Linked DNA regions of Lonchura striata. The protein of the gene in region 1 binds, or shares a complex with, the protein of each later gene. Links are inferred from orthologs where the notes say so. Each region holds a gene or a part of one and is shown in the gene's direction. Other genes may lie near its edges.

Region 1 (7,950 bases):
AATAATTTAAGTAATTGCGTTGCACTAGATATTATTGTAAAATGCATGTAAAATGTTGCAAAGATGCCTATTATTATTTTTACTCTCTAATTAAGCAGCAGCTCTTGCAGGAATGGAAATGTCTTCAGAGGAAGCAAAAGTATGTGAAGCTAAGAGAAAGTTGTGGAAAGCAGTATGTGAAAGAAGTTTACAAATGCTCCAGAGGATGTTTGGGCTATGATTAATCTTTATTGGTCAAGGTAATTACATTCTTGCATAAGATGTAGAATACTTCAACACAAAGAACTGAACTAGCACTTTTTAAAAAATCTAGAAAAATTAAATAAGAGTGGCTAATGAAATAGCAATTTCTTAGAAACAATGGAATCATAGCGCATCTGACCTACTCGATTTGTTAATTCACTTTGTGAGAGTTAATTGTTCACTTTTGTTCAAATACATGGAAGATTTCTTTTGCTGTGCATGTTTATCACCATGTATGTAACCTTACTGAGAGCTCTGGGTTTCACTAAGAAAGTGGTGTCCATTGTTTTCACTTTCTTTTCTCAGCAGGAGTGGTCTAACAGGATTATTCTACCTTTATTTCTCCTTTGACGTGAACAAATCAAAAGCCCATCAGAAAAAGTCTCAGTTACGTAAACTGAGGAAAGCTGGGGGACTTGTTAATTTATCGATGGCCCTGTAAATTCTCAGATGGTAGCAGAAGTTGTGACAGGATGCAGCAGAAATGTCAAAGGACTCCCATGATTGGTTCTGTGTATGTTAGCAATTCTATCAGATGTTTTTGAAAAACACTGAGAATTAGTACAGAATGTATAATCATATTTTAGATTCAGACCAGTTTTAGATTCAGCCTGGTTAGAAACTCTCCTTTCTCTCTGACTGAACTGAGAATACCCATACAGTTTTATCTTTTCCTTCAAGTATTTTGGGAGGGGGTTTCTTCTCAATTGTCAGGAATCAAATATTTTTTCCAGGAGCAAAAGGAATAGGACAACCAAATGAAATTGTTAGAATTACAGTAATTTAAATTTCAAGATCTGAAGAGAGAAACCAGTGGCCTTTCTTGATTTTAATTTGATTTATATAATGGAGAAGCAATTCTATATTTTACCATTGCATAAATAAGAGCCTCTGAGGAAATTTGTAATCCCTTAGGAATGAGTATCCACAAAAATCCTCATGACAAAACTGGATCACCTGCCTTTGACCTCCAAGGTCCACAGGCCACGCCAGCTGATTTAACTTCAGTCAGATTCAAAAGATCCTAATTGCTCAAAGGCCTGGAGGGGAACAAAAAATCCCTGTTGGTTTTGGCATTTTCTGTGTCCGTGTTTTCTTCATTTCCTGGTTGATTTTTGGGGTTTATATAGATTGTATTTTAAATAGTAACTATGAAAATAATGAACATGGTAAGACATGCTAAAAATAAAAATATACAAAGGTTTCCCCGATGTTACTTAGGGAATGGAGAAGTATTTAGATGTTAAATTAAAATCTAGTTTAAATAAAGTAGAATGTATGTTACAGATTCAAAAACATTATTTAAATTCTACAATGGACAAAATCAGTTTTAAAAACTTAGTGAGGAATGAAACTGAGGTACAGTGCCTGAAGTGTCTGGTAGCTTTACTAACATATTTCTTAGACTGTGCCTGCTATGTTTTTTTACTTCAACAGCTCTTTAAATCATAATGATCTTGGAAGAAGCTAAATAAAATTTGTCCTGCAATTCTTATAACAAATTAAAGTAGAAGCAGACTATAGGATAGAAGACTTGTGCTCTTCAAATGCTTTAATAACTTCAGTTATTTTACACATCATTTACACCACAACTGTCATTATATTTCCTTATTCTTTTTCAGTATCCCAATGTGTTTACTGGTTAATGAACACCTCAAACTGCTGGCCTGAAAGTTTCCAGAAGGCAAGTTTCTCAAAGCCATTGTAAACTGCTGCACTCAGAATTACAAGGTGTTTAGCCACAGTATTTGTATATAAACTGGTGAAATACAAGGCAGGTTCATTGGGATAGCTAAACAAGGGGGAGGAGATCTAAAGTCCACTTCTTAAAAGTTGAAAAGGTATTTGATTATTTTTGAAGGGAAAAAAGAATCTGAAAAAAAGGCAAATAACTTGCATAAGATTTACATAATTCTGTGGTAAGAATATTGCCTAGGCACGGTATTTTGCAATTTCATGGTAAGATATTTTACTGAGATAAAAACATGTATTGCTTGAAAAAAAATTAATTAAGATCATGTGTTCTGACATAAGTTAGTTCAAATACGGTTTTCTACCCCTTTGGTAAGCCTATTGGTGGATACCTACTGGCAGATACCACTGCTGGAAGCTTTTATTTTCCAGATTCAGAGATAACTAGTAGAAGCATTTCAGAGACAACGGCTTATGTGCCGTTATCTGCCACTTCAAACTAGAACGCTAGCTAGTAGTTTTAAATGTAAATAGGTCATCAGGGACTTTAGATACGACTGCACAGTCCCTTCAAGTATCAAAGTTGGCTGCTATAAAAGCAGCATTGCTTCCTCTCAGCTGCCAGCCTCCCTCCCACTACTGTGGCTGCTGCAAGGGACAGTGTGTGACAGTGGAAGCAGATGCAACAGGAAAAGAGCCAAACATCCCCCTTTGGTGACCCTGCCTTTGTTCAACCAAAGTGATCACACGGTTGTAATAAAAGCCATCAGATGTGACAAAGCAGCAGCAAAATCCAAGGTAATCTGCAGGTTAAAACCAGATGTTTCTGGTACTGAGTCATTTACACTGTTTGGCAGAAAAGGCTCCAGGAATATTAGCCAACCCTGCTTTGCAAGGGTTATGTGGATTGTGACAGGATTTCAAGTTAACATCCGCTCATTTTAGTATTCTGGAGTGATGTGAAATTTAGTTTTGGTACCAGTTTCCTATAAGAGATCCTCTTTTGAACAGGCCAGTGTGGATCAAAAAGGAGCACACTAAGCAGGTGGTCATTCTGTGGCTCTGAAGTACATTATGCAGGACAGCAATGGCATTTCTCTAGGAAATACGGCTATTAGTTAATGGAAGTGCATTGGAAATGTCTCCATTTCCAGCTCAATGGAGTCCAACCGTTCACCAATTCACAAAAGATCTGCTGCTCCTAATTTGGCATTGTTTAAAAGTTGTGTTTGCTTTCACAGTCTGTGAGTGAACCACAACTACCATTACACAGCAAAGCCACACTGATGGCAAGAGCAGAGCAATAGTATTTCTAGAAGAATAGTTCATAAAACCACCACACCATCTCTAAGCTGTTCTGCTCCTTCAGGATCCTACAAAATACTGCCAAAAGAAAAGCAGCATTAAAAAAATGACCTTGCTTAGGCCACAGCTTTGGCAGAAAATGCAAATGTGCATCATCTCCACAGCTGTGTTGCTTGTTTTGATCTTGTCAAAGAATAATTTGTCACTGCAACATTGCAGTGAGTAGGTGTTATGCTCCTATTCATGCAAGGTGTGAAGAGATAGTGCAGCACCCCTTCTTCTGAAGAATTACCACTGCTTATTAAAGATCTTCTGGAAAATTCAATAGATACAGCGCAAAGTTATTTGTAGCCTCCTGGTTTCTTTGCCATATTCTAGTTCTGATAAATAAGCATTTTTGGTGAAAATATTCCTGCATTTTTTCCTTGATATTCCAATCCTACCCTATTGTCTCTACTACATTTTATCATAAGTGTTATCCTTTGTGCATAAGATAGTATAATTATCTTTCCTTATGCCACATTTTCCTCAACTGAAAGCTAAAATTAGAGTATTGTGAATCAGAAACAAAAATAAACAGTTTTGCTAATGTTTTTCAGAATTCTTCCAGTGGAAAAGCTTATGGTCAGCTCTTTGGGAGCTTTACTGGTAAAGAAGCTCCTGTCCCTACAGTATCTTTGCACTAGACTTTGGTCACGATTGTGAATCAAATGGGGAAACTGAACTACCTGAAAAGTAACCCAGAAAGAAATCCATGACAATTTGCAGTCAAGTTCTTTATTTTATTCTAGACATAAACACGAATTAAACTTATACAGATACTTTTAAATACATTGCTATTCAGATACCAATTAAAAAATAAAATCCTTTTAACTGTGAGAAAAAAATTTGGATTACTTACACAATTTTACTTCTAAGCGTTTTATATTACAAAAAACGACTCGCCACAATGTTTTGCTGCAGGCATAGCAGGTTTATATTTAAATATTATGGAACTGTATTAAAAGCCTCGTACGTACAAAAGGGTTGAGGCAAACACGTCTGGTCTCTGCCGCTCTGGGAATTTCTCCGCTTTATGCACAGGAAAGAACAAACCACGGACCTCCGCTGGGACGGGTTCGTTGAACCCCTAAATACCTCGGGACGCATTTCCCGGACAGGACCCGGGATGTCGCTCGTTCCGCTTTCGGAACACGCGTGCGACGGCGTTCTGCGCCGGGTTCACGGTGCCGGCGGGGAAGCGGCTGCGTTCAGCGAGCCCGTTCCGCGGGCTCGGCGGGCGGCGCCCCGTCCGCCGCCATTTCCCGCGCCCCGGGGTGAGGCCAGGCGAGGTGAGCCGAGGTCAAGGAGGCGCGCGCCCACCGCGCCTGCGCGGCGCGCGCAGCCCTCCCCCGCCCCCCCGCGCGCCAGGCGAGGCGCGCGCGCAGAGCGGGGATCGCCGCCCCGCCGTGCCGTTCCTGCGCACGCGCGGCGGAGGCGGCGGCGGCGGCCCCGGGCTGCCGCGGGTTGCAGTACGCGCCGGCGCACGCGCGGTGGCGCGAGGCGCCGCGGCGGCCGGCGGCGGTGGGGGCTCGGCGGCGCAGGCGCGGTGGTGTCGGGGGGACTCCCGGGCCCGGGTGCTGCCGTGCCGCCGCCGGAGGAGCGGGAGCAGCAGGTTCAGTCAGGCAGTGCCGGCGGGCGGCGGGCGCGGGGCTGCGCGCGTGGAGCGGCGCTCGCCGGGGCAGGCAGGCGGGCAGCGGCAGCGCGGGGCCAGGTGAGCAGCGAGCGCGGCGCGGGGCGGTGCGGGCGGACCCGCCGGGGCCCGGTGTGCGCTGGCGAGGGGAAGGCGGGGGCGCGGCGCGGAGGAAGTTTGACAGCGCCGGCGTGTGTCTCCCGCCGCGAACCGGGGGGCGGGAGTGCAGCGGCTGCCCTTGGGCGGGCACGGCCGCGGCCGGGGGCGGGGGGCGCTCGCGGGGCACCCGCTAGGCCCGGTGACCCACTTTGCTCCTGTCACAACTCCGGGGCGCGGCGGGAGCGCCGCCCGCCTGGCCCCGCGCCCGCGGACCGGGCCGGGCGGGCGCGGGACTCCCCGGCATCCCGCGGGCCGGGCTGCGCCGGGCCGAGCAGGGCTGCGGGCGGCGCCTCCCCCCGCGGCCCCTGCGCCGCCGCTCCGCGGGGCGGTTCGTCCCGCGGGAGCCGGGGGGCGCGCCCGGGCCCGCCGCCCCACGCGCGGGGGAGGTTCCGGCGGCGGCCCCGCAGCGCGGGTGTTGACACGGCGGGCGGGCGGCGGTCGGTGCCCGCCCGGCCCCGGGCCCTCCCCGCGGCGGGACAGCTCCGCGGGGCCTCGGGCTCCGGGCGGTGGCGAGAGCGTGCCCCGCGCTCTCCCTGCGGCAGGTGGGCTGCAGCTGCGGGGTTACGTATGCACTTCGTAGGCTTTTAATTTTCCCTTTGTTTTTGGGTTACGATAACTTTATTGCGATAACCGCAACGTGTTCACGCTCGTAAAACCTGAGGGATTCTCAGTATACCCCGGTCCTTTTTCGAGTTACTGCGGCCTTAAAGTCAGTCTCTTTAATGCTCCGTGCATGCAGGTGTGAAATACGAGCAGCGAGGGACTGGAAATCCATGGTACTTCAGTTTTGTGTTTGGGTTAAGTTGGATCACGATTTTTCGTTGGTTTCAATTTCAAGTTCCAGATATTTTAGGCCTCGGTATAAATTGGAAATGTTTGGTTTTTTTCCATGGGGAGTAGTGCTTGTGAACTAATCAAATATATTTGCAGTAAGATTTTTGTATACCTGTTTTCATATGCTAAAGAGATAACCTACCAAGAGGCATAGGGGAAATCAGGTATGGTTTTGGCTGGAATATGTAACTCTATGTAGACGCAGAGTGGCCGATCATAGAACCTGATGCTCTAAATCCTTAAAGTAGGTATTTTTACTTCAATGACTGGTTGACAAGCAGTGCTTTTGGTGGCAGTATTGACTTGACCTGGTCTGCCTCTTCCTTGCTCCAGCTGCACCAGCACAACGGTTCTTGGAAATCGGTCCTGTAACTAGCTTGAGGAAATGATCCAGGTTAAAATTGACTACCTAGGTTTTGTGTTTTTGTTTTTTCTTTTTAACGTGGTTATAGTTAACCTATATAATTTCTCTGGCTAACAGGTGTAACAGGAGGCAAGAGGATTGTTTAAGCAAATACTCTAGAGAAAGAAGTACTTGAGAAATACAGCTCGACTGTGGTAGTCCTGGCAAAGTTCAGTATGAACAGTTGCAGTTGTTTCACAATGTTCAGTTTTACAGAAATAATATTGACTTTGTTTATAAATATCTGTGGGATTTGGGCCTGTTATTTGAAAATGGACAGCATTTGATTGTTGTAATAGGGAGATTCTAGTTGAAAGTAATTTTGCTTTTAATTTTTTTTATAAGTTAAACTATTAATTTTCATATGTATCCACTTAAGACACTTTCTCAAACTTGCTACAGATGCTGCTTTCAGATTACCAGACAAAATGTATTTGGTTTAGGTTTTTGTAGAATATGGCAAGTTTATCTGAGAATTTTGTTGGTAAGGCAAGGGTTACTGCTTCTTAACAAACAATTCAAACAGGGAAAAAAACCCCAAACTTCCGGGTTGATATTTAATAGTTTCAGGTGCCATTCAGCCATGTCTTGTTTTTTATTTCTTCCGCTTCATGCTCTTACATGGAAAAGTTTTAACACATTTAGGTAAAATAAAAGAATGTGAGGAAAGGAGTATGTTTTTGTTACTAATGCTCTTCTAAGGACCTCCAAACCTCTGCTGTAGGTAGCTTTGCTCTCTTTGTACTAAGCAATTTTAAAACTCAGTGGTAATTACCTTAAATTTTATTTGCAGTGTTGGTTAATTAGCTTCTTGGTATAGAATTTCATGGAAGTCATGAATCTTTGTGGTTGGATTGGTCTTGTAAAATAAATTGTTGCTTTTAAGAGCTTTAGGCTTTTGCTTTCCCTCCCCCCGCCCCGATTTTAAATTTCTGAGAAAAGTTGAAGGTATTAAGTGATAGTAGAGGTATTGCCCCTCACCTTCTCCACATGTTCTTTATATTAAATGTTTTTCAACTTGGAAAGTTGTGGGGTTTTTTTTATTAAAAACAAATAAACTTGTATTGAAAAGTTTTGTGAATCAAAAATGCAGTTTTCTTTACTAGGTAATTTCCTCATTTGAAAGGAGCTTCTTTTTTATCTACGCTTTCCTTCAGGAGATACATATAATTTGTTGTCAGTGCCTCATGGTTTCAGCCTAGTTTTATAATGAAGACTATGGATAGCTCTCCTCTTGAAGTAGAAAATTATCATCCTAATACAGTTTTTAATACAAAATATAATTCAGAAGAATTGGAATTACAGCTGAAAGGTGCCTTTTCATCACACTGTCATGAATTAGTTTTGCTCGAGACAAAGACTTTGGTAGATCTCTGAAGTGAAGAAAAGTTTATTTTAGTGTTTCAGCCTTTTGAAAGCACTAGCTTCTCTATGAGCACTGCAAACTGAAGGCTGAGTGTGAAAGCAGGTGTAGAACTGTTTCTGAGGATTATGAGGTGATGTTAGTAGGTACTGGCATAGCAAAGTCAGTAGTGATTGTTCCTGCCATTCTTAATTTCTGTTTATTTACTTTGCAAAGTATATTTAACCTTTCAGTGTTAATGAACTGGTTCACCACTGAAGGGGTGGCACAAGATCAGGA
Region 2 (7,022 bases), on another chromosome or scaffold:
CCAGGCAGTGCATTGCCAATTCCTGGGAATTCCCACTGAGTCTTTGAATATTAATTTGTGTTCTCAGAGACCACAGGGCTGAAATCAATGGGCTGGATTAGAATCTTCTCCTTTTGCCTGAAACAAGCTTTTAGTCCTTTAAATTATGATAAAGGCCAGGAGGAAGAAGAATGGATTTTAAAAACCTCAGAAGGAAGCAGGCACATTAAAAAGTCAACATTTATTGCTGTATATTTAAGAAATTAATGCTCAAATGTGGAAACATTGTGGTAGGAGGGACACCCTTTAAAGCAGCAAGTGTTTATACAAGCAAAAGCAGGAAAACCCAATTTTCCCCTGGCTTAGATTTTGTATTAACTCAACATTTTGATGAACTGGGAAAAGAATGAGTCTGCAACAGCTTATTTTGATAAAACCTTTATTTTGAAGAGGTCTGAGCCAGCCACACAAGAGCTGTGACAGACTACAGTCAACAGGTCACCACTGTGTGATTTTTTGCATCAGTTTGCAAACAATCCAAGCCACTGTTTGCAGTTTTTTCTGCCCTCATAATTGGGTTGAAGCAAGGCACCAACTCTGTGTAACAGGGTGAGAAATAGGGCTCAGTAATCTCTGGGGTTTTTAATGTACAGACAGAACAAGAAATCCAGAGATTCAAATTCAGTCTCCATAATTTTCTCTGAGCTTTGACTTGCCCTGCTGTAGGTAAGATCATAGCTTATATGTCTAGAGAGAAATGGAGAAAGGTTGGATAAAAGAGTAAGACAGGTTAATTAATCAGTATTAATCAGTATTTCCATGGCTGGAAACCTATGAACAAACAGCATCTGCTTAAAATGCTCTAAAGCAGTGGGATCCATAGCTAGGTGCTAAAATAGATATCCTATCTTGCACATGTTTTGGAAAACATTAAAAAAATAAACACATATAATTCTTCTATCTCCAAACCATTTCACAAAATTTCACCCTCCAAAGACTCAGAGATCTGTGTCCTCTGTGTCATGTACTGGGGTCATGAAGCATGGTTGAGAGAATACAAAGTTAATACATCAAAGAACTAATTTGGCTGGTTACTTCTGAACATCTGTAGGTGTTCCAGAGATATATCAAGACTGCTTGAAGGTAACCCCTGCCCAAAAAAATAAATCCAAACAGAAAAGAAACTATCGGTTTTTGGGTTATCAGTTGAGAAACCAGATTCCTTTTTCTGCAGGGAAATAGTTATAGATTTAAACACTTGCAGATTCTAAAGTGAAACTGCTGATATGGCCTTATCATACCTTAGGTAGGCTGCATTTAATGGCGATCGTATCTGCCACTCTTCTTGACACAAAGTCAAAATCCTAAGACCTGCAAAGTTTTATTGTAGCATTCAAATGTGAATACAGTAATCAGTTGGAACATGAGCTACTTTTTCCACTATTCTATTAATAAACAACAATTTTCAGTACAATTGCCACATAGCACACCCTCTTTCTGCTTTTAAATTGTCATTGTAAGCCAATCATGAGTGTAAATGTTGGTGTTTAAACATGATGTAACCATTAACATATTAACATAGCTAAGGAGGCAGTTAACGTTCTGCCTAAGATCTAATTTACTGCATTCTTAGAAAGAAAAAGCATAAAATCTGAAAATTAATCATGTGAGAGTTGTCTAGATGAGGAAATGCTTCTGATCTTGTATCAGACACACCAGTGCACAGTGCCCTGAGCTGAGCACACAGCTGAGCTGGTCTGCCCAGCAGCTCCCACGATTTGTGGGGTGCTCTACTTCATGTGCTCCCTCAAGTACCTTGCAAGGAGAAAATGCTCCACCTTTGGTCAAGCCTCACCTCTCCTGTTTGCCTTTTGTCTCCTGAAACGTGTGGTAGAAGAGTGGTGCAAACTTTTTTGGTGTCAGGAGCTGAACTCAGGTCTTGTCAAATTTCAAATTCTTAGCTCCTCATTTTTAGAATTTCAAGGTATAAGATGCCTGATTCACCTACAGATAGAATGCCTGCACTGACCTGACAATCTATTTCAAAGAAAGTCACAGAACTAGACTGATATACATCATCATATGGTGAAATTCGGAATTTGATTAACCAGATGCTATTATTTTCTTTAATATCTCATGAATAGAAACTACGGTGTAAAAACAACTCCAAACAATCTCTCACTGGGAAATCTGACATATGGCCTGCTAAGCTGCTCTCCTACAGAAATAGCAAAAGATCATTACTCTTGGCATCATTCCCTACAGCAGGCACTGGGCTCATTAAAACAGACACTACGCGATTGACTCCATAAGGAAGATTATTTCTACAGATGGGTAGAAACAATGAGCAAAACTACAAAGGCCGAGTTGAAAGAAGTAGTCAAGGAGACTTCTCCACCTCCATAACTTCTGTGCACTAAAACAAAGCAAAGCAGCACCATTTTGCTGGAAATAAGAAGATGCATCTTCTCCTCTCTGTTCACAGTATACATTTCCGTCCTACTGATGTAGTGTTTCATTTAACTCGCTCTTCTGGAGGGTTTCTGCCGAATAGGAGTACCCTGATGTGAACAGAGAGTTTGCATCCAGCAGGGGCCACTTGCTGCCAGTGTTTAGTCCCCACTCAATTAGGAGTAAAGGAGCTGTTAATGCTGTCCCGGGCTGAGCGATGGAGGATTGGGACAACCAAACCCACGCCGTGCCCCAACCCCGCTGCAACCCACACTTCCCCGGTGATGTTACCCTGGGAAACGTAAACCAAACCTCTGGGACGTGGCATCACAGGACAGGAAATGTTAACACAATTAGGATGTGGCAATGATAATCTGATGCAGCGCTCACGCAATCCCATTTAGCAAATGTATGCATTTGAAAGCAGCTCCGCTGTGATTATGTTCTTGCAACACATCCCCTCTACGCTGCTGCGTGGACTGTCTAAATTTAGACCAGAACATGGCGCAGTGGATGGCTCTACCACATTGCACCTCTGGCCTGGTGCACACGCAGAATGGAACAGGCTGTGAGCAGCTCCAGAGGCGACGCAGCATCAGTGACCAGGACATACATCGCACCCGGAGCATCAGTGGCAGGGACAGGCATGGCACTCAGCAGCTGGAGGACACGGGGGCTGAGGGACAGGGGCTGAAGGACACGGGGGCTGAAGGACACGGGGGCTGAAGGACACGGGGGCTGAGGGACAGGGGGGCTGAGGGACACGGGGGCTGAAGGACAGGGGACTGAAGGATATGGGGGCTGAAGGACACGGGGGCCAATGAACACGGGGGCTGATGAACACGGGAGCTGAGGGACAGGGGGCTGAGGGACAGGGGGGCTGAAGGACACGGGGGCTGAAGGACACGGGGGCTGAGGGACAGGGGGCTGAGGGACAGGGGACTGAAGGACACGGGGGCTGAAGGACACGGGGGCTGAGGGACACGGTAGCGGCCCTCTGGCAGGGCGGGTGGCGGGCAAAGGGCCGGTGAGCGCGGCGCAGAGAAGCGGACTCTCAGCGGACGGGAGGTGCCAGCACCGCACGGGCTCCCCGAGGCCCCGGGGCGGTGTGCGGGGCTGCGCCCGGGCCCCGCCGCCGAGGGACGGAAGGAGACGAGGCGCGGGCAGGGCGGCCACGCCGGGGCAGCGCCGCCATGACCTTCACACCTCGGCGCGTGACGTCACGGCCGCGGCTGACGTCACGCGGCGGTGACGCAGCGGCCCGGGCGAGCCCCGGCGGAGGGGCGGGCAGCGGGCGGTACCGCGGGCGGCGCCGCCGGGGGCAGCAGCGCGGGCGATGCCGAGCCGAGCCCTCCCCGCCGCCCCGGCCGCACCCGCCCCGAGAACCCCGCCGACCCCGCCGCCACCGCCACATCCGGGTCCCGGCGGCGCCCCCCGCCGAGGGGCGGGACCAGAGCCCGGAGCCGCGCTTCCGATTGGCCGGTGCCGCGGGGCCGCGCGGGGATTTGCCGGCGCTCGGGGGGGCGGGCGTTGCCCGCTCGGCGGCCGCCCATTGGGCGAGGCGGGCGCGGAGCCGCTCTGCCGTTGGCGGGCGGGCGCGTCCGGTGCGGGGCCGGGGGAGGGTGCCATTGGCTGGAAAGTAGGTTAGTGGTGCGCCGTCGGGTGGCAAGCCAGGCGGAAAGTAGGTCAGGGACGGGGGCTGCCTGCGCCGGGCGTGCGGCGCTGCCGGGGGGCCGCGACCCCCGCCCGCGCTCCCTTCGGCCGGGCGCGGCGCGGCGAGGGGCGCGCGGAGCCGCGGTGAGCGCCAGGGGCGGCGGGCGGGGGGCGTGAGGGGCAGCGCGGCCCCGGCGGAGCCGCCGCCCCCGGGGGCCGCGGGAGTCCCGGGAGGGGCCCGGGCCGGGCGATGGCGGCGGCGGGACCCCCCGGCGGCGGTGCCGGGCTGCGGAGCCGGGAGCCGGGAGCGAGGCGGGGGCCCCGTTACGGAGCGGCCCCGGGGCGGGCTGGCCCGGCGGTGTGGCGGCACCGCGGGGACGGGGCGGGCGGGCCCGGAGCCCTGTCAGAGCCGGGCCGGGGTCCCGCGGAGGGCAGGCGCGGCGGCGGGGGCGTGCCGGGCTGTGCCCTCTGCCCGGTGCGAGTCGCCCTCAGGGGTGGCGAGGCTCGGGCGGCCCTCACGGAGGGGACGGTGGCGCTTCCCCTGCCCGAGCGGGGTCTCGGCCGGCCGCTCCGGGATGGGGGCGGCCCCTGTGAGCGCCAGGAGGATGGCGGTGCTGGGGAATTCCCCGCTCGGTCCCGCCCGCGGGCAGGTGCCAGCCCCGCGGCCGGCGGCTGCTGGCGCCGCACGGAGCGTCCCGGGACGTGCCGGGGCTGTTCGCCCCGGGATCCCCGCATCCCGATCCCCCTCCGCTGCCCTGGCCGACACCTGTGTGCGAGGGGAAGGGAGGAACGGAGCACACCGGGAACACCGAGGCGCCTTCCCGAGATCGGGGATTTTGCGCTTGGGGAGGCAAGGGAATCTCTTTGCATTTTTAATTGCTGAGGTTTCTGTCACTCCGGTGTCTCGATTATAACAGTTTTGGGAAGATTTTTGTGCCTGAAAAACAACGGTGAAGGAACAAGTGGGTGTGTTTTCTTGCCTTGGAAGTAAATTTGCTTGCTGGAATTTCATAGCATTTCCTTAGTGTGTGAGGTAGAAAGGGTCAGCTGCAGAGTGTGTTCTAATCTCTTTTCAAAATTCAGCCTTTAAGTGTATTTTTTTTTTTTAAATTCTGGAACTTCAGCATTCAAAATATTATGTTTCTTTTTTTTAACACGCTCATATTAAAAGTACCTTTTCTTTTATTAAAAGGGCTCATTAAATGTGAGCGACTGATAGTACGCAGGCTGCAGCTGAGTCTGTAAGGGAGGAAAGAAAGAGTTTTGTTCCAATTAAGTATTAATTCCAGCTAACTGTCTCTGTAAACGGTCTTGCAGGAGGATGAGGTTAAACTCTGCCCTCTTCATAATGTATGTTTTGTATCCTCCAGGAATATGTAAATAGCTCTTTGAAGCATCAGGAACTACAGACCTCTCTCTGGTTACTGTAAACCACAGCTGCTTATTAAGGAAAAAGGCTTTACTCCTCCTGACCTCTGTGGGTTTGTGCTTCTCATGACCATTCCTGGATTTTTACCCCTGCTTGTAGAAATTGAGCGTGTAAAATAATCTACAGCCACAGCATTTCATTGGGGTTTTATGCTGTTTTATCCCAAATTCTCTTGCACGCTGTGCATTTCTGTTGTCTCTTTGGAGGCCAGCTGTGGTGTGTGGGGCTGTGAAGGATCAAGCTCTGTAAAAGAAGTTCTGTGGGAGAGCAGACAAGAGAGAAGCACCACAGAGAACGTGAAGCTGCCTGGTTTGGGTGTGGGGAAGCTAAGGTGGCTGGAGCTGGCATTCCACAATGCCAGAGCTGGAATTAGGGGCTGCTGCCACGTTCCTGTCACCATGTGCTCCCAAGAGACTCTCTGTGTTTGGGGACCCTTGCTAGGGATGTATTAGGAATGATGTATTAGTGATGTTTGTAGGGGGACTTTAAAGGAGATTTGTTTTTCTCCTTCAGATACCTGCTCTCAAAGATTATTTCGGGCACCCAGGAGTAAGAAGAGAGAGCATTTATTGGGTTTATTTGGTGGAGCTTGGGGTTGCACACAGTCCTTTGAAGCTGTGCAGGACTGATGGCAAAGCTGAGACCTGTGAGAGCTGCAGCCCTTGAGCTGCAGGTGAGGAAGGCAGATTTTCCAAGGGAATGGATATCAAGGATGCTGGAAATACCAGGAGATGTGCAGGTTATTTAGTTTACATGAGTACAGAAGTGCTGTTTCCGTGCTCAAATGTAACATTTTAAGCTGTTTTCAGCATGGGGCCTATTGCCTGTGTTGTTATACTTTGAGGGAGTTACAGGGAAACCTGAAGGAATACATTATTGTTAAGTGAAACAAAGTAAATTTGGTGCATCCTGTAGCGACTTTCAGTTCTGTAACCTGCAAGCTTTTCATTCTTAACCTTTACCGTCAGTTTTATCTATAGTTCTGTTTCTAAAAAAGGGCAGAAAAGTAGTAAAAGGCAGCTGCTTGTATCCCCAAGTGTTAGGAAGTTAGTTGTCTTCAATAAAAACTGTATAAAGGCATATCATAAGCAAATGACTGCAAAGAGAAGCCCAAAATAAATACATCTTTTTAATCTTGTGTAGCTTTTTGGTTCTCACTAAGTTTACAGAATGCAATATTTAAGCTTTCTCTATTTACTTTGATACAGTAAACATGTTTTGAAACTTTAATTTTTGGCTGTCATCATATTTTGAGAGCTTCAGCCTGAAATAATTGATTTTTATAAAGGCAGTCACTGACTGGATGATGCTGACTGGGAACTCAGTTACCAACTTTTGAGATTTGGTTATTGAACATTCTGCTTGATCAACCCACAGCAATGACGGTCTGTGTTTTGAAGGTGCTTGAAGATGAAAATGAGGTGGTTGATGGCATTTTCAAACCTGGTGAAAGAGCTTTCAGTGTCTCTAAGACACTGTAGGTAGATTTTGGGCAGTGGATTGATGATGG
Region 3 (7,916 bases), on another chromosome or scaffold:
ATCAGCTCAGGCATCTAACATAACAAGCCCAAAGGGAAAGCAACTGAGTCACAGTGGCATCTGAGCTTCTCGGAAAGCCTCCGTCCAGCCTGTGTGCCTGGCTCATCTATCCATACTGTGAGGCACAGCACACGGCTGTATCACTGTTACCACATCATATGATCTCCTACTGACCAGTCTGTGGGAAATGTAATCCTTCTATGTGCAACTAATATGGTTGGTCTTTAATCCTCTGCAGCACAGGTCTGTACTGAAGGTTCAACATTCAAGTTCTTCTCTGCATGAAGTCCATTTTTTATCCTAGCATATAAAGTTACAAATTTGTGCCTTTTCATTTGCTTGCAAAAAATTATTAAAATAATAGGCCAAAATCTTTACCAAAATCATACTCTCAAATACAGCCATGTAAAATATAGTTCCCAAAAATTAGGAAAATACCAATTTGAGATCCCCAATTCAGAAAATACAGATTTGAGATCCCAAATTCATCCTTAGTTCTGCTATGCTATACACTTATAATATCAGGATTTCTTTACTTACCTACTGACATCTCAAGTGTTTTTCTGCCAAACAAGATGTCATTCAGTTGAATGGTAATGGGAATAAAACATGTAGAGAATTAGGCTGTTGTTTGTAGTATTCCTATCTCGTATTAGTTGCCCTTGGTACATAAATAAAGACCCACAGACTCACAGAATATTCTGAATTGGAAGTAGACCACAAGGATCATCAAAGTCCAGCTACTGTCCCTGCACAGGACAGCCCCAAGAATCACACATTTAGCTAAACAAGTAACATTATTTTAAAGTAAGATTTGGGATTCCTTATTGCAATCCTATGTAAATTAGACAAAGACCTTTTCACCCGAAAAAAAATGTCCATAGGCAGTCCTTGACTGGACTAATTTTGTCCTTCTCGATGTCCTGTAATCCAAAGAGACTCACGACACCCAGTGGTTATTACAAGTAACGCAGGCATACAGAAGCCATGTAGAACGTGAAGACGCTTCTCTCAGTTCTCAGATTCACAAAATTAAGATGCAACTAGAAAAATGAAGACACTGCACAAGTTACAATCCATATAAAAGAGTCTGTAGAGATGGCTCAACACCTACCAAAAAACCCCCAAAACTCCCAAAGCCACCATCAATATCTGAAATACAAACATAAATAATTTTGGAACTCCAGGAAAACATAACATCTAGCCTGCTTTGGAGCAAATAGTAGCTCTTCCATTATAACAATTTAAATCCTGTAGATTCATGCACCAGAAAAAAAAAAAAAAACAACACTATAATGAGGAGCATTGCACTTATTAAGTAAAGGTATCCTTCTACACCCTGTAGTTTTCCACACACTATATGGAAGAGCAGACAGAGGGGATGACAGTGCTGGGAGGTGAGGGAATGCAGAAGGGCTTGCTGCTCTCCAGAGCACTCTCGACTGCTGCAATGCTCTGATGCTGCAAGGGTTAAAAGCAGTCATTGGGCTGCTCTTTTGCACTGCTTCCCCAAATCCTCAGTTGGCCCAAAAGCCTAGAAGTTGTAAAAGGAATATTAAATCCACCTTTGTTCTCATCCAACATAAAACAGTATAGAAGAGTGTAAGAGCACTAAAAGTGCTTCATTCTTGTTATGCCATCTCTGTTAATAATTTGTCATTTTGAAATTGTCTTCATTCTGCCTTGTCTTAAATTGGACACATTTATGGTAAAGATGAAGTTGCAGATGGATATAACAATATGAAAGATGTGTATTTTGAAAAGAATACATATCTAAAGTTGAAATTTAGAAGACAAGGAGCCATTACTAAAGTACTTTCATTAGAGAAAAATCTTGTTAAGTCAACTTCTGGGTGAAATTCTATGATCACACAATGTTTCCTGCTTTGATATTTATTAAATAAGATATTAATTATTAACAAAATATATATGTGGAATGTCTTTTCAAAGAGATTTCAAGCTTTAATATTGTTTTAATGCCCAACAACACACTTTATCTGCATGAATTAATTCTTTTGTTGAGACCAATGAAAACTTATGAGGCATCATTTAAACAATATTTGTCTATTTATGTATTAAAATTACAGAAGTGAATAACAGAAGGAACAAAGATACCTGTATTAAAATATCATAAAAATTAGACTGGTTCAATGAAGTGAGATGAATAAAGATATTTATCTGCAAACTAACTTAATATAGTACTTCCTAAATTGTATTTTGTCTGTGATTGCAAAACAAAGCAGTGAGTATATGAATAAAAAAGATTGAGTACATGGTGTTTTCAGACCTAACCTTTCCAGTTCAGACAGTGTAATATGAAACGACATTCTTCTGACCTGGCTATGCTTTATTTCCAAAGTTTGCCAAACATTTCTTTCTACTGCTGTGTTAGGACAAAAGATTCTTTGTCCCACAAGCACTTATGAAGTCGATGCATCAACACCTTTATTAATTGTTCGGTAAGCACACATTATTTAACCACCTAATTAGATAAAAACTTGCCTCTGTCACTCTTAAGCCATGAAAGATGATTTCTGCATCTTCTCCTGAAAGAAAATATTCAACACCTTTTTTTAATAAGTGTTGAAACACCTACACTGAATAAACATGCAGTCATTCTTTTCACTCTTCCTGTTGTACAACCAGAATAAACAGGGAAGTGAACAAAAAGTTAATTCTTATTTGTCAAAACACTCGCCTTTAGGATAAACAAATCAACCACTGTATAACATAAGGAAAAAGGAAAACATCCTGTTGCCACTGACTGTAATCACTGAACTCACACAGTAAATGAGACCTTGGATCAATGAAGAATCAAATTAAATGAAAAGGGAGAGAAGGGGCAATGACAGAAATATTAATAAAACTACAAATACAGCATATTTGGAAGAGGAAGAATTTAGATGATGTTCAATATAAACCTAAGATTTAAGTCAACTTAATTCAGGGACATTTCGGTAATAAGATTTCATTTATTCAGAAAAAGGTTTACCTTGACTATCCAGGAAAACTTCTCTATTAAACAGTGTAGTATTTCAGTTATCCTACCTGCTGCCCCTTGGATGAAGGCCTGGTATCACATATCCCAAATCTGTTCTGAATCACGTAAACTGAACAGCAGGTTGTCTGTCCTAAACACAGGCTACTTGCTCTCTGGTGAGCTGTTTTCACTGAGCAGCCATGCATACTCCATATCCTGAGAAATCCGGCCTCTGTGGAGAACAGTAAGGGCTGTTTCAGGGTACAAGGCAACCCCAGACCATGCCTGTACAAATAAGATGATACAATAGCATTCTTAGCATGCTTTTCCTCAGACCTCAAAACTCCTGAACAGTAAGGGATCCAAATCCAGAGTCTAGAGATCACACATCTCACACTACAGCTTAGATGTAATCAGAGCCAACTCTGGCATTTCTGTGCTCAAAACTACATCCTAAGAATAAGAGTCACTAGTGTTCTCTCACAGCATTTCAGATTGGTAGGACTGGAACCCAACAGTGCCTTATTTTTTAAAATTATGGTGTCATTTAATGTAACCTCAGACATTTTTGTGTTGCATTTGGCAAGTTGTTTATGAGACTATGCTGAGATTAAAGGTCCTTCTCTTTTTCATTCAGGAATTTCTTACATCTTGTTGCCCTCCTAAATCAGCATATTTCAGGTTCCTTAACAAGACCATCATAACAATGAAAGTATTTCTTTCTATTTCTGTTTGAGGAATTAATTTTGTATTTGCTCAGGTCTTCCACACAGTCTTTTCAATTTGCTATAATGAAATGGCTTTCATGTCCAAATGCAAAGTATTCTGACAGATTTCTCGGTGCTGGTAGCATTTATGCAGTTCTCAGAACAAGAATAGCTACTCTAGCTTTTTCATTGAACCAGGGACTCACTTCCTCCTATTTATTTGCCCTTGGTTTATATGCTGTTCATGTAAACCAGATCCATGTATTTTACACTTTCCAACCACACAAAAGTTGGGGGTTTTTTTTGTTTTTTTGTTGGTTTTGTTTGGTTTTTTGTTTTGTTTTGTTTTTGTTTTTGTTTTCAGTCATGACAGGAAAAAGTGATTCTTCCCCTGTACTTGGCACTGGTGAAACCACACCTTGAGTTCTGTGTTGAATTCTGGGTCCCTCCCTTCAGGAAAGGACATTGAGGTGCTGGAGTGAGTCAGGAGAAGGGTGATGAAAGCGGTGAAGGATCTAGAGCACGAGTTCTGTGAGGAACAGAAGGGGGTGTTCAGACCAGAAGAAAAGGAGGCTCAGGGGTGACCTTACCACTCTCACAAGGAGGCTGAAAGGAGGCTGTAGCCGTGTGGGATTTGGCCTCCTCTTCCAGCAGCCAGAGACAGGACAAGAGGACAGCCTCAAGCTGTGCCCGAGGAGGTTCAGGTTAGAGATGAGAAGGAATTCCTTCACAGAAAGGATTATTAGACATAGGAACAGGATGCCCGTGGAGGTGATGGAGTCACCATACCTGAAAGTGTCTAAGAAAAGACTGGATGTAGCACTTAGTGCCATGGTCTAGTTGACATGGTGGTGTTAGGTCATAGGTTGAACTCAATGACCCGAGGTCTTTTCCAACCTAATTGATTCTGTGATTCCTTTTTTTGCCGTGTTTTCTCTCTTTGACAAGTTTGAGACCTCTTTGATGCTGCTTTCCTCATTCATGAACTGAGAGAGGCTACACGAAAGCCTGACCTTCTGTGTGGGGAAGAGCTGTATTTTTTCTGTGCAGCACTGGGGAGCCCCAGACTCGGGGCTCCGCTCCCGCCGCCCGGCTCCCTGACGCGCCCGGCGGCGCCGCCGCCGCCCCGCGCTCCCGCCGCCCGGCTCTGCGCATGCCCGCTCGGGGCGCGGCGGCCGCGCTGCCCCTCGGCGGCCGTGGGGGCGGGCCGTGCCCGGGCGGGTGCAGCGCATGCGCGGCGCGGCTGAGCTGTGGCGGCCCGCGCCCAGGTGAGGGGCGCCCCGGCCCGGCCCGGCCCGGCCCGGCCCGGCCCGGCGGGCGGCGGCGGCCGCGGGGGAGCGGCGGCGGCCCTCGGGCCCGGGGCTGGGCTGTACCTGCCGCGCCTCGCCGTGTGGCGGGGCGGCGGCTCGGACCGGCAGCCGAGTGGCTGGGCCCGCCCGAGCGGGCTCTCCTCGTGCCGCAGGAGTCTGGCGTGTGGGAGGCGGCTGGGTGGGATCGGGGGGAGACCCGGCCCTGGACGGCGGCGTGAGTGCCCGGTTCTAAGGGCGGTGCGCGGCCCAGGGCCTGCCCGCCGGGCCCAGCGGGGCGGCTCTGGCCCGGGGATGAGCAGGAGGTTTTTCACGCCCGTGCCTGGGGGGAGTGGCACTTCTGGTTTGTTTATTTTCGGTTGTGGTAGTGATATTTTGCTTTACTGTGAGAGAAGATGCTGTTAACGCTTCCCAAAGCTTCACTTGATGCAAAGCTGGCAGATAAGGTGTTCTTACTTTATTTCTAGCCCTCTCTGTTTCTTGTTTTAGTTTGAGATGGTTTTGGGGTTTTATTTTAGATCAACATTTCTGCTTATCACTTTCTTAAAAAAATACATTTGTTTTGGAAAGGGTTAAGTGAGGAAAGCATGGATCAGGACTTAAACCACTTCTTCCATTGCAGGGATAGCATCTAGGTTGCGCTTGTGTAACCATGTTTGTTCCATACCTGTTAGCAGGCAGGCAGGTGTGACTGAAGATGGAAAGTAAAAGTGATGCAAATAGCTACTTGAGGAATTTTTCTTCTGCTGACCATAATTCCAGTATTGTTGTAATAGACAGTCATATTCCCATTTCAGAATTCAATACTGGTGCTAAGACTCAGTATTTGGAGCAAACTTTTAGCAAACTTGGCAGGACCTGAAGAAGAAACTTGCATTTTGGTGTAGATTATTCCAGAATGTCTGTTGCTGTTCATTTGAAACAGCTTGTACTGCATATTGCTGCTGATGGACTGCTGGCCTGACCATGTTGCAGACTCCTGAGTTCCTGTTTTTGTAATTTAAATATAAAACTTAACATTGAGACATAACTTCAGTGGGTTACTTTATAGGAAAATAATTTCTACAAATAATAGTAGAAATTTCTGCACTTAATTCTGTCAGTTTTCTGTTAGCCAATTTCTCAGTTACTTTCTTTAAGAGAAGCAGAAACTTAATCTTACTGGATGCTGCCTACCCTCAGAAAGCAACTGAAGGTTGCGAAAAGTATGTAGTGTGGGAACATTTTACTGTTTTTCAAAGCTTTTAATTTCAGCCTTTCAATGCTTTCATTCTGGTTGTGGGTATTTCTAAGGCTCTGTCTCCCCTAGGAGTGTATTGCAGTATGTGTTGCTCTTTTAGCAGCATAGATTTCTTTAGCCCCCAGTGTGTTCACTGATCACTCATTCTTTTCTCTGATGACTTACTCTACTCTTGAGAATGAAACAAGCTCTGTTAGCAAAACCACAGTTTTGCAGGTTCAGCTGTATTTGTTGTAAGAGTTTCACCCAGCACAACAGTTTTGTTTTGCAATTCAGCCCTTGGGGCAACAAAGCTTTCATAAGATAAGTAATGCCCTGAGTAATTCCAATTCTTGAAATAAATGTTGTTTATGAATAGCCTTTAATTTTTAGTTTGTTTTACCTTTTTGGGGTGGAAAGGCATGTCCAATACATCAGTTTTTTATGTGAATTGCATTCTTTCAGGATTTTGAGATATTTCTTGAAGTCTGCAGTTAGATCACTGGCAGCTGTCCTCCACTGTTGTCTTATACTGATGGAACTTTCTTTAGATTCAGATAAAGTCCTTTTTTATTCTTAACTGTTTTTTCAGTTCCTCAATGGAAGAGGTGTTAAAAACTGCCCACGACACTATGGAAACACTCAGACAAAATAGTAATTTACTGACACCTGTGAGGAGTTGTTGGGCAGAGTGATGGAAATGAAGAGCTTCAACCATCGCTTCAGTATGGCGGCAGCTGAATCTGACAAAGACTCCGGATATTCAGGTTTAGAAAAACACTGTTACCTTTCTTGTGTGTTACTGTGCTGAGGCTGTGCTTTAATTGGTGTCATTTAACAAATCTGAGTAACCCCTTCCAGTTGGTGTCTCATTACCTTGGAGGACCTTCCTGTGCAAGATAGGTTTCCACTACAATCATCCTACCACCAAAGTTTTTTGAAGTGGAACATTACCAAATTACAAAGTTAATTTCAGTGAATTTGAATGGAATGGGAATTTAGAATTAATGGAATAATCTTAGACTTTAGAGTCTAGAAGTGGAGATGTCAAAATTACTTTTCCTTTGCAGTGATGAATGAATTGTTGGATTAAGTTCCCCAGTGCCTATTATGATCTGACCATATTGCCAGTAGAGCCTGATAAACCAGAGGGTAGTGGTTATAACATCAGTAAAATAATAGCCATGGTGTGCCATTTTAGTAGTCAACAAAACTGTGCAAAAATTACCTTTAAACAAGAGAAACAATTACTTCTATGAAAGATACCTGCTTCACTGGGTTTTCGATAGAAAATTTCAAGACACAAAATGCCTGCATCGCAAACTATGGATGTGCCAATGCTGGAGCCTATAGTGCTTTCCTGTATCAGTTTTTTGACTAATGCAACCTTGATGATACTATGCAGTCCCTTGGAGACATAAGTACAAAAGAACAGAAAGTAGATTTTTATGAGAGAAACTGTCTGTATAAGAATTGACCTGAGATACAAAGCCTTTTATTAGAGGCTGTCTGACATCTGTCATAGCAGCTTTAATTTTGTTGATATTACAGAACTAAACTTTATTGTTCTTTGTGACTTGGTTGAATGAGGCAGAATATTAAACTGAAAGGCAATAGTAAGCATGTTGCATGTGGAACAACTAACAGCTGAATTCTACATCTGACAGATGGAAGTTCAGAATGCCCAAGTGCTATGGAGCAGA

Evidence for each region.
Region 2: the proteins of CLOCK (region 1) and BMAL1 are in contact, whole or in part, in a crystal structure (PDB 4F3L), measured with the Mus musculus proteins. The link is inferred for Lonchura striata from reciprocal best matches to the Homo sapiens genes CLOCK and BMAL1. Residues at the interface, in NP_001276755.1 of Mus musculus: Arg46, Gln49, Phe50, Leu53, Ile54, Glu56, Leu57, Met60, Leu61, Pro62, Lys70, Ser71, Leu74, Gln75, Ser77, Ile78, Phe80, Leu81, Arg82, His84, Lys85, Thr88, Glu95, Ile96, Gln98, Asp99, Trp100, Pro102, Phe104, Leu105; in XP_030097882.1 of Mus musculus: Lys70, Met71, Phe74, Ile75, Glu77, Leu78, Ser80, Leu81, Val82, Asp93, Leu95, Leu98, Arg99, Ala101, Val102, His104, Met105, Lys106, Leu108, Arg109, Gly110, Ala118, Tyr120, Lys121, Pro122, Phe124, Leu125, Asp127, Asp128, Glu129.
Region 3: the proteins of CLOCK (region 1) and CIPC are in contact, whole or in part, in a crystal structure (PDB 5VJI), measured with the Mus musculus proteins. The link is inferred for Lonchura striata from reciprocal best matches to the Homo sapiens genes CLOCK and CIPC. Residues at the interface, in NP_001276755.1 of Mus musculus: Gln519, Leu526, Lys527, Leu530, Arg533, Ile537, Asn540, Ile541, Arg543, Gln544, Glu547, Leu548, Ile551, Gln554, Leu555, Val558; in XP_006515773.1 of Mus musculus: Asn401, Thr402, Val405, Leu406, Ser409, Leu411, Ile414, Thr415, Thr418, Leu421, Ile422, Asn425, Thr428, Gln429, Leu432, Leu435, Lys436, Thr439, Gln440, Phe442, Ile443, Thr446.

What each region holds. Positions count from the first base shown.
Region 1 is NC_134606.1:27,395,180-27,403,129, reverse strand, and holds the start of CLOCK (circadian locomoter output cycles protein kaput), read left to right. Parts: upstream 1-4,884; 5' UTR 4,885-4,993; intron 4,994-7,950. UniProt on the Homo sapiens protein: Transcriptional activator which forms a core component of the circadian clock.
Region 2 is NC_134608.1:58,750,482-58,757,503, forward strand, and holds the start of BMAL1 (basic helix-loop-helix ARNT-like protein 1), read left to right. Parts: upstream 1-3,995; 5' UTR 3,996-4,073; exon of another isoform or gene 4,074-4,115; intron 4,116-4,161; exon of another isoform or gene 4,162-4,227; intron 4,228-7,022. UniProt on the Homo sapiens protein: Transcriptional activator which forms a core component of the circadian clock.
Region 3 is NC_134608.1:22,217,127-22,225,042, reverse strand, and holds the start of CIPC (CLOCK-interacting pacemaker), read left to right. Parts: upstream 1-4,881; 5' UTR 4,882-4,955; intron 4,956-5,304; exon of another isoform or gene 5,305-5,440; intron 5,441-6,805; 5' UTR 6,806-6,907; coding exon 6,908-6,980; intron 6,981-7,880; coding exon 7,881-7,916.